Styela clava: one gene and its partner. The protein of the gene in region 1 purifies or fractionates together with the protein of each later gene. This does not show direct contact. Links are inferred from orthologs where the notes say so. Each region holds a gene or a part of one and is shown on either strand. Other genes may lie near its edges.

The links. The genes of interacting proteins can lie anywhere in the genome.
Region 2: the proteins of nucleolin-like (region 1) and putative rRNA-processing protein EBP2 purify together in Homo sapiens (affinity purification with mass spectrometry; 3 studies listed by BioGRID and IntAct, with this or other methods). This does not show direct contact. The link is inferred for Styela clava from reciprocal best matches to the Homo sapiens genes NCL and EBNA1BP2.

What each region holds. Positions count from the first base shown.
Region 1 is NC_135256.1:11,322,724-11,330,737, reverse strand, and holds the start of nucleolin-like, read left to right. Parts: upstream 1-4,992; 5' UTR 4,993-5,137; coding exon 5,138-5,158; intron 5,159-5,468; coding exon 5,469-5,585; intron 5,586-6,595; coding exon 6,596-6,712; intron 6,713-7,294; coding exon 7,295-7,396; intron 7,397-7,726; coding exon 7,727-7,831; intron 7,832-8,014. Other genes in the region: uncharacterized protein LOC144425124, read left to right, coding at 651-668, 3,523-3,673, 4,484-4,617. UniProt on the Homo sapiens protein: Nucleolin is the major nucleolar protein of growing eukaryotic cells. It is found associated with intranucleolar chromatin and pre-ribosomal particles. It induces chromatin decondensation by binding to histone H1.
Region 2 is NC_135259.1:3,406,632-3,414,596, forward strand, and holds the start of putative rRNA-processing protein EBP2, read right to left. Parts: upstream 3,024-7,965; 5' UTR 2,935-3,023; coding exon 2,830-2,934; intron 2,647-2,829; coding exon 2,563-2,646; intron 2,459-2,562; coding exon 2,371-2,458; intron 1,694-2,370; coding exon 1,464-1,693; intron 1,239-1,463; coding exon 1,073-1,238; intron 387-1,072; coding exon 299-386; intron 1-298. UniProt on the Homo sapiens protein: Required for the processing of the 27S pre-rRNA.

The sequences.
Region 1 (8,014 bases):
ATATTGTGTTTGGATCCACTTCTGTTTTTACTGCGTTAGGTGTGATGTGTTTTGATCCACTTCTGTTTTACTGCGTTAAGTGTGATGTGTTTTGATTCACTCCTGATTTACTGTGTTAAGAGTTGAGTGTGTCTCAATTTTATCTGTTTTCGGAATTTGGATTGTGCATCTTCCTATAATATACAACAACGATTAGCATCAACACTGTGTGCTTATTATCGTCTGAAGGAGTCCAGATTGGAGTCACATTCCATAACGCGTGTCAAAACAATAACGCGGGAATAGAACTTAAATATATAGGGTGATAGTCAATATCTCATCATCAGCATCTCATCTCTTTCTCCCTTTACTACAGGTTCGGTACCGGTACTGGTAGCTCAGTACGTAAGTACGATACTGGTACTGGTGCCGGTACCGGTGTCTTACCACAAGGAAATTACCGTAACTTATTCTTTCACGGTCCTACCAGTGCAGTAATGCAAGCGTTGTAGCACTTGTAGCCTACTATATTTGTTTATTTTGATGAGAGTCTACTGGAAACAACATAAAATTTGAAAGGGAAGAATTGTTCTGTGATCAATTATCTGTCCTAAAGTGTAAACAACATAAAATTTGCAAGGGAACAACTGTTCTGTGATCAATTACCGTATATGGCCTACAGTGTACAGGTAAGATGCTGGCTGACTGCTAACCGGTACTGGTAGCTCAGTACGTAAGTACGATACTGGTACTGGTGCCGGTACCGGTGTCTTACCACAATGAAATTACCGTAACTTAATCTTTCACGGTCCTACCAGTGCAGTAATGCAAGCGTTGTAGCACTTGTAGCCTACTATATTTGTTTATTTTGATGAGAGTCTACTGGAAACAACATAAAATTTGAAAGGGAAGAATTGTTCTGTGATCAATTATCTGTCCTAAAGTGTAAACAACATAAAATTTGCGAGGGAACTCTGTTCTGTGATCAATTACCGTATATGGCCTACAGTGTACAGGTAAGATGCTGCCTGACTGCTAACTCAGTACCGCTTGACACGTTTTTAAAAAGTCGCTTTTCTCTTCGAATACTGGACCAATTGCTTTGAAATTTTTAGTGGTTAAAGATAAAAATTTTCTCCAGAAGGCTATTACTTTTTTTTTCGCTATGACGTCATCAAATTAATGTGACTCTACGTGTCCATATATTTGAGCATAGCTCTCTTGTTTTCTTTCGTCATTATCATTAAAAAATCGCTTTTCTCTTCGAATACTGGACCAATTGCTTTGAAATTTTCAGTGGTTAAAGATAAAATTTTTCTCCAGAAGGCTATTACTTTTTTTTTCGCTATGACGTCACCAAAATCATTGCCATTGGGTGGCGCTACGTGTCCATATATTTGAGCATAGCTCTCTTGTTTTCTGAACAGAGTTTACCGAAAATAAATAATTTTTTCAGCATTTCAAAGTAAAACCAGGCAGAGATGGAGGAAGAACAGTTGGCCCTTTGCCTTTATTCTTTAAACCTACTTGTTTGCCTATAGAAAAATCAAAAACATTTGATTTGCTGTTACATCAACTCATACTATTATAATTATTTACATTTTTGTTTATCTTTCACTTGTCTTTTTATATACTACTTTGACATCCCTCTGCAAGCAAAAAATTGTTGATCATTATGCTGAAATAATGCTTGTTAGGTCCTATTAACTATTTTTCCCCCTCCTAATCTAGACAAATCAAAGCAGATCATGTTTGTTACATCTTCAATGCGTACCTATGCCATGAAATGAAGCATTTCTGCTAATTCATCACATATGCGTATAAATTATTTAAATTCTTTCAGTAACCTTTGGAATCTCTTCAGATTTTGAAATCCCGCTCCACATAAATAAATAAAAATGATTTACTCTAGCATTCCCCTCCCCAATTTTTTTCTTCTATTTTGAGAATATAATTTAAAATTCTAGAATGTTCCTCCCCAATATTTTAGTCATCTGAAACTGTGGATCTTAAACATAATAGCTTGAAGGGGGGGAGTTGACTTTGATGACCATCCGGTCGTATCACTCCCTCCTGTCTATACCAAACTAATTTATTTCTTATTGTTATTTTTTTTTTTTATTATTATTACGATGACTGTTATTTTTGGTTGACGAAAAAATAAATCTCTCTCTCTCTCTAATGAACTTAACAGTCAACAACCCAGGCCGACGGTTAACGAAAATGCCACTACTTCGCCCTAGTTAGTCCGTATTAGTATTTGTCTACAGTTAGTCTACTTTAGGCCGACAATGACGCGATATAGAACGGTCAGTTGGGCGACAATTTCACGATTCTTAGATCGTCATCGTAATTAAATTAAGATTCCTTTTCCACGGAACACTTCGAAGACGCTCGCGGAACACAGGTTGGGAAACGCTGCTGTACAGTATTACGCAACGACTAACATACCATACCACATAACATGGTATTACGGTACAAATTCACGCTGTATCCAAAGGCACAACCTATCGTCGCTTTCTCGCGAGAAAAGAATAAATACAGAACAAAATTGTTGCTTAATCTTTAGCACTAGTGACTAAACCCTAACACGGAATAAAGTGCTGTACAGATAATGGTAGTACAATCATTGAGGTACGCAATCTGTGTTGCACAAAAATGCTAGCATGTGACATATCTCTGAAAAATAGGATTTCGTGGATGCGCAATATCTGAATGCTCGAGTATTTGTAGCAGGATTCACTGTATTCGAAAATCCCTGATATTTGAGCACTTTTTAACATTTCTCCCTGACGCAAATTTGACCACTAAAATCCCGGACATGCCAGGGAAAAATAGGGCAATTGGCAACCCTAGTACTGTATAGTGTAGCGCAGGGCTACTCAACTATTTCATCGAAGATCTGCATACAATACTTGAAAATTATTTGGGTCCGGTCTTTCCAAAAATTATATTTCGGCATCCTTATTCGCACACTTCCTCGACCGGCTAATGATTATTATCTCATCAAGATTGTTTATTATGGTGTTATAGTTCTTTACATATAATATATATTCAAAACTATAAAAGTCAATTTATAAAAAGAAACTTGAAAAGTGGGGCTAATGATCCAGAATAAATAATTAGGGGCGGTCCGAATCAAATACTCGAAAGGTCCGGATTCGGTCCAGTGAACGCGTGGTTTTGTTTGATTCGTTGTTTTCCGCTAACATTGTTACCGAATATTTGGCATATGCAAAATCAATACCAATTTTTACTTCCATTCATGATTGTTTTTAGTTGACGAATCAATAAATTTATCACTCGAGGATCCGGGAGACCTTGATTTAAGTCCCACTCAATTTCGAAAACTGGTCTAAACTCAACCTATTTATTATTGCTTAATTAATTGTAATTAATGCTATACATTCATTTGATAAGTCACAACAAGAATATTTTTATTGCCTACCATGACTAATATTGCTGAGCTGCGCCTTTTTCGATAACGACCATGAACACGTATATTTAATTTAGTAATATACGGTCTCTTTTTCTGCAATTTAGTGTCTCCGCAGCACTGCCTGCGGGTCTCATGCTGCAAGTCAAGCACGTGGGAGCGCCGTGGCTTTCGGAATTTTTTCGATCGGCTGTTTCGTAACTGCATGCGTGTTTGTCAGAACGCACTTGAAGGAATTTGGGACGACTGCGGATAATGGTATAATAATGTTTTTTACTTAGGCTATGATTGATATAGAAGTAGCAACGGTTATGCGACGTTAACAAAATTGATGAGGAATGCTACCGTAACCTACCTCAGAAAATAAATAAATAATTACGGTAAGCTCGATGTCGGCCATTGCGCGGTCGTTTCTCTGTCAGTCTGTTGTATTTATATGACAACTACAGTGCCCTAGTTTTCATTGTATATTGTTGATAATTAGGCGTATCTGTTGTTTTCTACTTCTGTCATTTGTGGTTTCTTGAATAATCGCATGAGTGTTTGAGAAAGCGTTTTTTTGATTGTTTTATGTATTAAGAAAAATTAAAAGACATGTAACATGTCAGAAAAAAATAAAAGGTTAAATATGGATTAAAAATCATGATTTGCCTCCGGCTGACAGGCATTGAGTGGTTGTAGACTGTAGTACAGTTGGCATGAATCTCAGAATCTAATATAGGCTATCACATAATTCCACAGCATTTGCTTATTTTGTCCGTTGACGTAGATTACTTGAATTTTCGTTTTTATTTTTCCAATTATTTGATGTTGGTCCCATCAACGTAAGTTACGCCCTGGGGTAATTTTTGGGCATCTTCAGTAAAGTCCCATCAACGTAAGTTACGCTCTGGAGTAATTTTTGGGCATCTTCAGTAAATCTGCCTTCATCGGCCATTGATAACGAATTGTTGTTTGTTTTAAATTTTGGCAATTCATCCAAACAATTTCAGGATTGAATGGATGTTTTCCACAATTTTGAGCCAGATATCAATTTTTTTCCACATATTTATCTGCATTTATATACAGGAATTTCAGAAGCGGAGAAAAGTGCTTTTTGTCAATCCTTTTATTTGAGTTTCTATTCTTCACTGCGAAATGATTTTCAGCAATTAGTTTTCAAAAGTGAAAACGAAAAGTACAATGATTGTAAAATGTCGTAAAATTTTGACTTTTAATAACAATATATACATATGAATTTCATATTTCTGTCCTTATTATCTGTTCTTAAAAACGAATGATCATTTATAATAAACACGTTTTTCATCTAATTCAATATCCTATGCTTTTGTTTAACTGTTGTATTAGAGACATTGCCTAGGACTTGCAATCTAGGAATTTATTAATAATAATAAATTTATCTGATTGTATTAGATGTATTAATCTGTTGTGTATTATGGCCAGATGCGCCAATATTTATTGAGTTTATGATGTCTTTCCCTTCAACAGATGATGTACTGATGTTTTTCCGTTCAACCCCACTTAAGAGTTTAAATATGTTATAATTTTTAAGTTGGATGACTCATTCCAATCAATTAAACTTGTCCTTCCGAGAATAAAGGCCTTGAGAATTTTATTTACCTGATCTTATGATTCTGAATTTTAGAAAACTTAACTAACAGTCCAATAACTAAAAGGTACAAAAGCACCTATATTACTTAACATCAGAATTTGTAAATCACAATGGTCCAGATGAAATCCAAAGTGAGTATTCTTCATTGTCTAAGTATTGTATTCTATTTTTCTTAGGATTTTGGAATTATAATTCTATCAATTTTATATAAATCTTGTTCAGTTTGTTTAAAAGTATTTGTTGGGTAAAACTGATGATTCAGATTCATGGCTTGCTATTCCTAAAGATCTAATCACAAACAAGTTTTGAAAGCTCATTAAAAATACTTGTCGTATTTATTTGTCTTAGTATAACATTGTTATTATTTGTCATATATATGTATCATATAGAATCCTCAATTTTTGTTTAACTTTAATTTTTATTATCAAAATCATTTAATAGGGAAAAGACAAGAAAACAAAAAATGCAAAAGCAAAGAAACAGGTAAAACCTGATCCACCACCGAAAGAAGAAAGTAGTGAAGAGGAGGAAAGTGAGGAGGAAGAGGAAGAAGTCAAGGTATAGATTTTCAGAAATATGACAGATTCAGTTTTGTCCAGTATTACTCGTATTTTGATTACTTGCCTCAGGGCTGGAGTCGAGAATGGAAGCATGGAGCTGTGGCATTTTGGTGGAGTTTGAGCCAAGCTCATCATATCAGATGGTGCCGTAGCTACCAGAAATTTTAGTGACTCCACTTCCTCACCATCTGAGTAGTTTTCCAATACTTCATACATATAAACTAAATTTTATGTTCAATTTTATATATTTAAAAGTTTAATTTTGAAATCCTTATGTAATATTTTTAAGTCCCACTGCATTTGGGCTGATGTTTAATGGTAGTGGTAACACCTAAAAGCGTCAATGGGCATTGGGCCGAAGCTGAAGCCCCTGTGATTTCGAACCACCTCCAAAGCCTCTGTGATTTCGAATCACCTCCCAATCCCTGACTTGCCTATTGAGCATTTTTAATAGCGACTCCTTGTTTTTTACTGAGATTATTAAGCCCACTGGCTATACCTTGCTTATAAGCCTTGTTTTGCGTACCACTGCTTTGCTACTAAAAGTATTCAACATCTGGATGTAATATTATACTTGGGAAAATTCCTGTTTTTTCAACACATGATATTCTGGTTCTCCCGTAGTAAGTGTATCAGGTTAGGGTTAGGCCATAATTTAATTCCGATTTTTCTTATTTTTGTTATATTACGTGTTCGGGGACTGTCCGTGTTAGCCAAGTGAATATAACCCCTGCCCATAGGTTTCAGTCCCTTTACACAACTTGATTTAAAGTAGGCGAACAAAATTATTTACCTCCACATTGGTACACACACTTCTGGAGTGCCAATATTCCAAATGCTTATTGACTGCTGGTGAGTCTTATTCAGGATGCAGGTGTGAAACAGATATGAAAAACCTATCTTCCATTTTTTATTTTCATTAGTGTTATTGTCCAAGCCTTACTAAATCTGTGATGTAAGGGTGTTTCATTTCAGCTGGCATAACAATTCAACCATATCAAATTTCAGGTGCAAAAAACACAAAAGAAGAAAACAACAAAAGCGGCAAAGAAACAAGAGGAAGAAGACAGTGATGACGACGACGATGATGATGATGACGATAGTGATGAGGAGGAGGAAGTCAAGGTAATAAATTCGCCAGCAAAAATAAGATTGTTATGTTGTATGACAGGACGAAAATGTGTGATAAATAATACAGTATACATATAAATACTATAGCTATGGTAATGTAGATAATGTTTTGACACATATAATGCCCTTGCCTACACAACAATATTGGTGCTTCTGTAGTATGCGAACCAAGATGGCGGACACCGGAATGTAGTATGTGTACCAGGTTCGGGTTAGGCCATAATTTTATTTCAATTTTCCTTATTTTAGTTTTATTACGAGTTCAGGGACAGCCAAGTGACTCCCGTAGCATTTGTACCTGAAATTATGGCATAACCCTAATCTGGTATACATACTACGTTCCCGTGTCCGCCATCTTTGTACGCATACTGTAGGAGTACCAAAATATTTTGCAAATATTGGAATCTAGTTTGGCAGGTTCAAATACTTATGCTCTGTAAAGTGATATCTTGTGAATGTTCATTGTTGTAGAAAACCAAATTATCAAATGAGAATAAAAACAGTCAAAGTAACTGCTCAAGTACCTTTTAAATACTTATTTAGGTGCCATGATAACCAAAATTTTTTTCAATGCAGAAAGGAACAAACGGCAAAGTAAAAAATGCAGCAAAAGCTGATGACGAAGAGGAAGACAGTGATGATGATGACGACGATGATGATGATGACAGTGAGGAAGAGGTAATGAATGAAAAACTTACATAAAACATATATTTTTCGGATTTCCTCGTGAATTCATGTAACTAGGGCTTGGTCTAGTGCCATTGCAATCTATCGTTATATTAATTGAATCCAAACTGGTTCCATATACTTCAACCTCATTATTCTTTATATGTTGAAACATATATATGCCTATATATATATATATATATTTAAAACTTGAGTTGTCAACTTGAAATCAATTTTTGACCACAAAATTTCCATCATAAGATGGTTTCCGAAAAATTTCAAGGCTAGAAATTCGAAGTTTTTTTTTCGAGTTCGTCATGACGCTTTGATTTTCATCAACAGACGAAGAAAGATAAGAAAGCTGCTGGAGATGCAAAGAAAGAGGAAGAAGAAGACAGCGATGACGATGATGATGATGACGACGACGATGATGAGGAAGACTCTAAGGTTGGAAACTCAATTCTCTTACTCAAATTTGTATCTTAGTATGGATTTAAAATGCTGCGAGGAGATTTAGGTTACCATACCATCACAATGTTTTACAGATGTAAAATTTTTGTGTACTCAGAACATTGGGGATATTCCACAATAAACTCTAAACTTGAATTCGAAAAAAATATTTGACATTGA
Region 2 (7,965 bases), on another chromosome or scaffold:
CAATGAAACAACATTATCTTTAAATTTTATAAGCAAAATTCAACAAACCCTGTATTTTGAACATCAAGCACCGCAATTTCATTTATACCAAAGCCTGGAGGAATTCACACAGGAAAATGACAATTGGACTTAGCATCCAGGTAACAAAGATTACCGTGAAAACAATCATGAATGAAAATCATGGCCTCCTAAACAGCCTGTGAAATAAAACTGAATTTTGTGAAAAAAATAGGATTCATATTTATAAAAATACTTATACTTCTTCTTTATCATGTCATATAGATATTAGATACCTTACCTTTGTTGTTCGACTTTTTGTAGTTGAGATTTCTTGCCAGGTTTTACTTCCCTCTCATCATCCAGAAAATCCATGCTGTCTGTTTTCCCTGAAAATAGTTTAATATAGCTAAGCATTGGGTGATGGCCACAAGTATTTCTCAAAAAAGCTCAAGTGACAATATGTTATTAGTGCGTCATGTCATAACATGGGCCTTACAATATAATATAGTCCACTTTAAGGCTACTCAACTGGCAGACCGCAGTCCGAACCTTTCGAGTATTTGATTCAAGCCGCACCTAATTCTTTATTTTGCATCATTAGCCCCACTTTTGAAGTTCCCTTTTATGAAATGACTTTTATAGTTTTGAATATATATGTAAAGAACTATAACACCATAATAAACAATCTTGATTAGCTAATAATCATTAGTGTGCGAATAAGGATGCCGAATATAATTTCTGGAAAGACCAGACCCAAATGATTTTGAAGTTTTGTATGCGGATCTTCGATGAAAATAGTTGAGTAGTCCTGATCTACTTAACGGGAATGGAATGAACCAGACTACAATTATATGCTTGTGATTCCAAGTTTTCAATGATAACAAAATTAAGAATAATGCCTAGAAGTCAGTTTTTTCATTAAAATTTGTTGCAATGCAACAAAATAATCCATGCCATTGAATATTAAAAAAGCAACATGGAAATTTGTGAGCAAATACTGAAAGAGAACTCTGGCTGGAATTAGGTTATTCATATGCACATATTCCTTTTTATAACATTGTTTATTTCAAACCTTTTCGAAATTTTTTCACACTGTCTAAAATTTCCCTTTTCTTTTTCTTTCGCTCTAGTTCAACAGCTTGCTGCACTTTCTTTCCATATTTCTTTAACTTCAGTTGATTTCTATATTTTTCTGCAGATTCTTTACGTCGTTGTAAACTCAGAAGTTTTTGACGAACCTGGATGTAAAAAATATCACTACATGACAAATGGTAACATTATTAACAGGCCATCAATCACAATTTAATTTGACAGTCAAGTAGTCTAAATATGTCAAAAAGCTGAAAAGATACGATTATCTTGTAAGTGTGCTAATATTTTTGGGATGAAAATTTCTTTTTAAAAAGTATTTTTCCCATGTGTCAAATGCACAAAAGCAAAAAGTACATATCACAATGCTGTACCTTTTTCATGTGATCATCTTTTTTAGCCATCTCAGCAAAATAATCCTCTGGTCTTACAGTGGAAATATTAGCAATTTTCAGTAGAGGAATTGCCTTTAATACAGCATCTTTTGCTTGTGTTAGAAACATGAGTTCCCGTTTAAAGTCATTGTGAACAGTAAATAGTCTGCTTTGTGCCTGTGCCTGAGCTTCAGCAGCACTTAATCCCTCTTCAAACATTTCATCAGTTTCTGTAATAAATGCAGGATTTACATATTTATCTTGGATTTCTGGGGATGAGAGATGGTGATAAGACGGCGTAATCATATGGCATACCACGGCCGTGTCCTGTATGAGATCAGTTATTCGTTCAGATGCATCGACTTGATGGCAGAGGAAGCCATAACCAACCAAGCAGTTACGCTAACCCCCTATGGCGGTGAGGAGTCCAGCAATTCTTTTGCACATAATTAATCCTCACAGAATTAAAAAATGAAAACCCACGTAGGGTAATCAGAGGTGCAGGGGTCAACGATGCACCACACCACTGAGCAACAAGGAATGAATATTGGCAATACATAACTAGAAAGTTTAACAAGCTGTTGTTATATTGTTGATCTTGGTACAAATAAATATACCATATTTTGACTTCACCAATATTGCTTAACACTGTTAATGAGTACAATAATAAATGAGTGGAGGTGCAGCAAAGCAATGAAGAGTATAGGAAATTTCATCTGTATTGGGACTATCTTTTGCCATTTTGGTAGTAATATTTCAAATTATCATTATCAATAGATCTGTAGTTCTTAAAGCAAGAGCCAAAACATTTTAATTAATACTTTTTAGCAGTGACGAATTGGGTATTCCTAGAATCCCAGTTTCGAAAAAGTTTGTAGGATACAATAGTTTAGCGCTAAGCACATACTTGATCTTCTTTCTACTGTTATATCAAGCCTCTCTAACCAATCCATATCTTTCTGTTCAATTTCTTCTAATTTCTCCAGAATCCCATCCTAGAATAAAAGTAATAACTCCAGAATTATTGGAAAATTTAGTCATTTCAATCAAATGAAAACATTGCTGATGTCAAAATTTAATACTGAATTCGTTAACTTACCACATTATTGACAGCTGGCCGCTCAGGTTTCGCTTCTGAATATAAGCCTGGTTTAAGCAAACCACTTTTGTAGGCAACTTGTAACTAGAAATGTAAATATAAAATGGATTTGATTGTTATAATATAAGTCCAACAGATTTCGACATCACAATGGCATATTATTTGTCATAATACAATCGTAATTAATAATATGATCGTAATTATCGAATTATAAATTTCAGTCTTTTGCGACATATTTTAATTAAAAAACTTATTAGATATATTCACCTCTCTGTCTGAATCATCAGAATCATCTTCTGCCAATCTTGGATGATGCAATTCATCTTCTTCACTTTCTTCCTCACTTGATGGATAATTTTCCTCTTCTGACATCTTATTTCAGTATTTATATGAATTTGAAGAGATGAAAAGTAATCACACGATTTATTTTAAACAACCTGATAATAAACGGAACGTATAATAAGTTGTGATAAGATGGCTTAATCATATGGTGAACCACGGCCTCTCGTCAGGTTCAGGTCGTGTAAGGAATTAGTTAGCCAATAATTTGTTCCAAATGCATGAACTTGATTCTCTCACACATAGTTATTTCCACAGGACTCAAACTCGCAAACCCATGCAGAGTAATCAGAGATGCGTTGGTGAGTGTATTCCAAGCGCTCAGAACATTGGTTCCTAAAGACGAAGTGAGGTCTGCAAAGCAACTTTGACTGTGACACAGAATTATAGATCTTTAGTAAAAAGCACTCATCAAAAAAACCATCCCCCACCACGTTTTAAAAAAAAATTAGTAATTATCCAGTTAGGGTTAGGAATACAGATTGCGCTGGGAACCGTACGGCACACTATACAGATCGAGCAACATTGTGTCGTTTCGGGATACCCATTTTACAGATGATTAGACGACCCTCCTTCGGGGAACGTCTGAACATGGTTGTCCCTCAATATCGGTAAAACTACAGTAAATTGAAGTTGCGCAAAAAAGTGCAATCTAAAATCGTCATCATTGAATTCCTCGGGAAAAATAATGCGATTTACCAAAGGAAAATTTTTTCTATAGTGGCATTTGAGAGTTATGAACAAAAAACTGCAATTTTGGTCACGTGACGGCTGCGATTCATTTAGATTATTATCAAGACAAGCATGGTGCAATATGACGTATCTGCCGTTGTGCCAGACGACCCTCGTTTGTGAGACACCTGGAGTGTTTGTTTTATTGAACCAAATGACTGGACATTCTTGGAATTTGGATAGTGTGCCGTACGCGGAAATTCAAATTTGCAAATCATTCCTTACTCGAACCCTAACTGGATAATTGATAATTTTTTTACTTAAAGCATGGCGTTTTTTTCTCAAATCTCACATTTTTTGCATTAGTGAAGGGGGCTTTCTACAAAAGATCAAGAAGCACAACTGGGAATGTATCAAGTACAGGCTACGAAGCTCACATTCGTAAATATATATATATGTGTTACAGTCATGTATAAAGGTTTAAATGTTTGAAAATACGCATTCAAAACATCCAATATCAATAAAATTCAAAAATTTACACGCACACAGTCCTATAACGTCAGCAGTCTTCGCTAGTGTTACAACAGACAGCCCCAGTTTCGTCTGTAGACTGTATTTATACAACATGCTGACATGAGCAAAAGTTAACACTGAGCCAAATCCCTTCTAGAGAATATTAATGTGTTTTTCTCGACGTTGGAGCCTTGAAAAGATCGAAATTACACTCCTATCTGCCTATACCGGTAGTCTTTAAACTGTAAAACTTCGCCGTAGAAAATGCGAAAATACGGACAATTCTGCAATTCACCAGACCTCTCTTGTAGTCGAGTTGTCCGTGTACAGTAACTAACAGTTGTTCGCCTCCCGACTTGTAGTACAGTACAGCAGTACCGGTAGTCGGCTGGAAACCTAAGCCTGGATCTCATTTGCATTACGCTCTGCCACATCCCTGCATTACTCCCATAAAATTGACATTATACAGCTATATGACTACAGTTATACAGTTATATGATAACCAAATACCGCATCCATCAAGTTTAGCCACTTCTGCTACGGTTGTTTCTTGCAGAAGCACGAAAGGGATATGGGCGCCGCCATTTTGTAATCATGCACGCCATCTCGCGGAGATCTGTAAATAATGGTGCAGCAACTACCGATGGACAACGATCGGGATAATAACTACCGGTACGCGAAAGTAAATGGCACATAACTAAAGTTCTTGCAAACAAGGCTAGGCCTCACAGCCAACTGAGTAGCCTACGACAACTCAAAAATTTTCCTCGAGAGACATATTCAAAAGTCAAAGAAGAGTACATTATATAAAAATAATATCAGCAGTGATTTATACTACTGAAGTATACACTCAATAAACAAATGGACAAGCTCGGTAAGAAGGTTTAACTTTCAATCACAAAATTCCAAGCTACATACATTATTTATTCATCCATGAGACAACATTAGTTTATTTAGAGAAAGTATTTATCTCGGCATTGGGACTGTATCAATATCAATTGATCTACAAGACTTGGTATAATTTTTTAGAGTTTAAAAAGTATTGATTAGAAACACAAAGCAAGTCCGCTATCAACTAATAGCGAGAAGAGGCCGTTTATCTTTCAGTTTCGCAGCGCACATAAGGGAACTACCTGAAACTGATTTTAGGAAGTTCCCTAGAAAGTTAGTAACAAATAATGACTTGTTTCCATTTCCGAAAGTTGCACGTTTTACGGAAAAGGCGCTGTTTCTGTAATGCGCGTTTGTGTGAAGGACGGGAAAATAATCAATTTTACTGATGTCAGTTTGTCTAAATTCATTCGAGTCGACAAGAACCTGGGAAGCAATGATAAGTTATGCCGGAGTTGAACGAAAAGTAGCATTAGAAGCGATTGAGAGGTGTGAAATCAAGTTGTAGACAGACAGTAGATGTTTTAAAATATAGTCTATTAGGCATTTCAGACTGTGATATATCGAGATTCAGTGTAGATGTAGTCTAGTATGCAAACACTGCAGGACTGTAGTGCATCAGATAAAATGCATTATGTATGAAAAGTATCAGTCAGTATTTAGCGGTATTTTTACATGCTGTTCCAAATATGATTTTCTTCCTCATTTTAGATACTGTACAACAAACGAAAACGGCAATGTTCCACCAATCCAACCTAACGCAGGCTCTAATCCGGGCTGCTATCAGCGCTATACCTGTAAGAATAAAATGAACCGAACAAGAAGTCTTGAAGAAAAGCGTAAAGGTATATGAGAAGATGACAGTTGCAAACAGCTTAGATGGGCTATTCATATTGAAAACTTTGGCACATTTCTGCAATTGAAACTGCCCATCAAACTGATGTTGGAGAACTTCATTGAGTTTTTCAATTCATGTTTTCCTCAACTATGAAGATCCTATGAGATAGACGAGTCATTAATACATAAAGATGAGTAATTTGTTTGTTCACTGTAAGAAGAGAATATGAAAAATGTAAATGATACCAAGTCTTTTGAAAATTGGCAAAAATATGGATTATACTTTTCCTCCCAACAATGATTCACTGAAGAAGCATGTCCTGAGGGCAAAGTACCAGGCAGGACTTCATCATTGTTGCCTAGAATTGATGGATCTACTTCCAGCCCCCAAATCGATTCTTGAGATGGCAAATTGCAAGGGTAAGAAAAATTGATGTCAAAATAATTTATTCATGTGTGCCAAAAACAACCTAAATTGCACAGATTTTTGCATTGACTGCAAAAACCACAGTACATTTATAGAGGAAAGTCGATTTTCGAGAATGAGGATTTCGGAAGCAATTCAGAGGAAAGTGAATTAGATATTGAAGTTAATAAATATTTTTCATTATTTTTTTTCTTCAGATATCTGTTAGTGTCGTAGGTCCTGTTTCTATAAATAATATCGCCTTTGTTTCAAATGCACAACCACCAAACTGAAAAAAAAAACTAATTGTAATATTGATGTTCACTATGTTATGTACATACTGTATTCATTTGATTTTCTTGACTTTTCCGGTAGATTTCTCTGAGTAATAACCGATTTATTTGTGTTTTTGTGCTCACGATGTTAATTTGTGACTTTATTGCTTAAAAATGAATACGTTTGATAGCTTAACTATAAAATAAATGCAACTTCTTATGCTGTTCTTTGTTGTAAACTGCTGTCTGAGGAAGTCTGATTTTGTTAGACAAAACGTTACAGAAATACATTTGTGTTAGTGTGCAGCAGGGTTCTTGAATTGCATAGCTCCTATGCTGTGTTGCTGTAAACCTATGGTCATTGATTATCTGGGAATCCCCTTATGTTCAATTTTGCATCAGGATTGTGGAGCAAGCTGGAATGCGTTCAGTATGTTCATTTTCATACAAAACTTTATTTATTTAATTACCAGGTGTGCGCTACAAAACTAATTTTCTGGTCGTTTTCAAGGCCTCTTCTCATGTCCTATATTCATGGTATGGATATACAAGTGTTTAATAACTTACTTATACTTTTTAACACCGGCTTAGTATAACTTAACTAATACAGAAGATCAATGCTCAAATATATGGACACGCAAAACAATTACCCAAAAATCCTATGCGGTGACTTAACAGTACCTGTATCGGGATACCGTGACGGTACAGGAACAGTCATAGTTTTTTTTCGGTCCTGTGACAATGATCCAATCTTCTTGATTATATTGAAACAATAATTAAAATATCTCGTGATATGAGTTAATTATGTATTACCGGATAGGTACCGAACCACAGTCAAACATTTCACATAAAAAACGTTACAAAATAATATGCGTCAATTTAACAACACCTGAATCGGAGTACAAATTTTGGTACAGTGACTGTCATAGCCTTTTAGGGCTGACGGACAGCTTACTTACATAAGTATGCTTACCAGTATACTTGTCATGTCAGTCGCTTCTCCTTTGCGAGACAGATAGACCAGACCGAAATTTGCAGATCCTGTGGCGATTTCGTTTCAACATGAATTGAAAAAACCCACTTATTCGATTTATCATGGTATTATAACAGCAGATACCACAGTGTACAAATATATTGACACCAAGCGAAGCAGTACGGTACGGTTCACCGTACCTTTAGTATCACCGGTAACCTCATAAAACTTCCGAGTTTTGAGTAGCAAGAATTTTCAGAATGCGCCGTCACGCTCGGCAGGTTAAAAACAGTGTTCCCATAATATATTATACACTTAAATTTTGTATGAAATAACAGATTTTATAGAATTCATACAAAATTTAGAGATAAATAAAAGTAATAGCCTTCTGGAGAAAAATTCCATCCTCAACCACTGAAAATTTCAAAGAAATTGGTCCGGTAATGAAAGAGAAAAGCGACTTTTTCATAACGTGTCAAAAAACAAGAATAAGAACA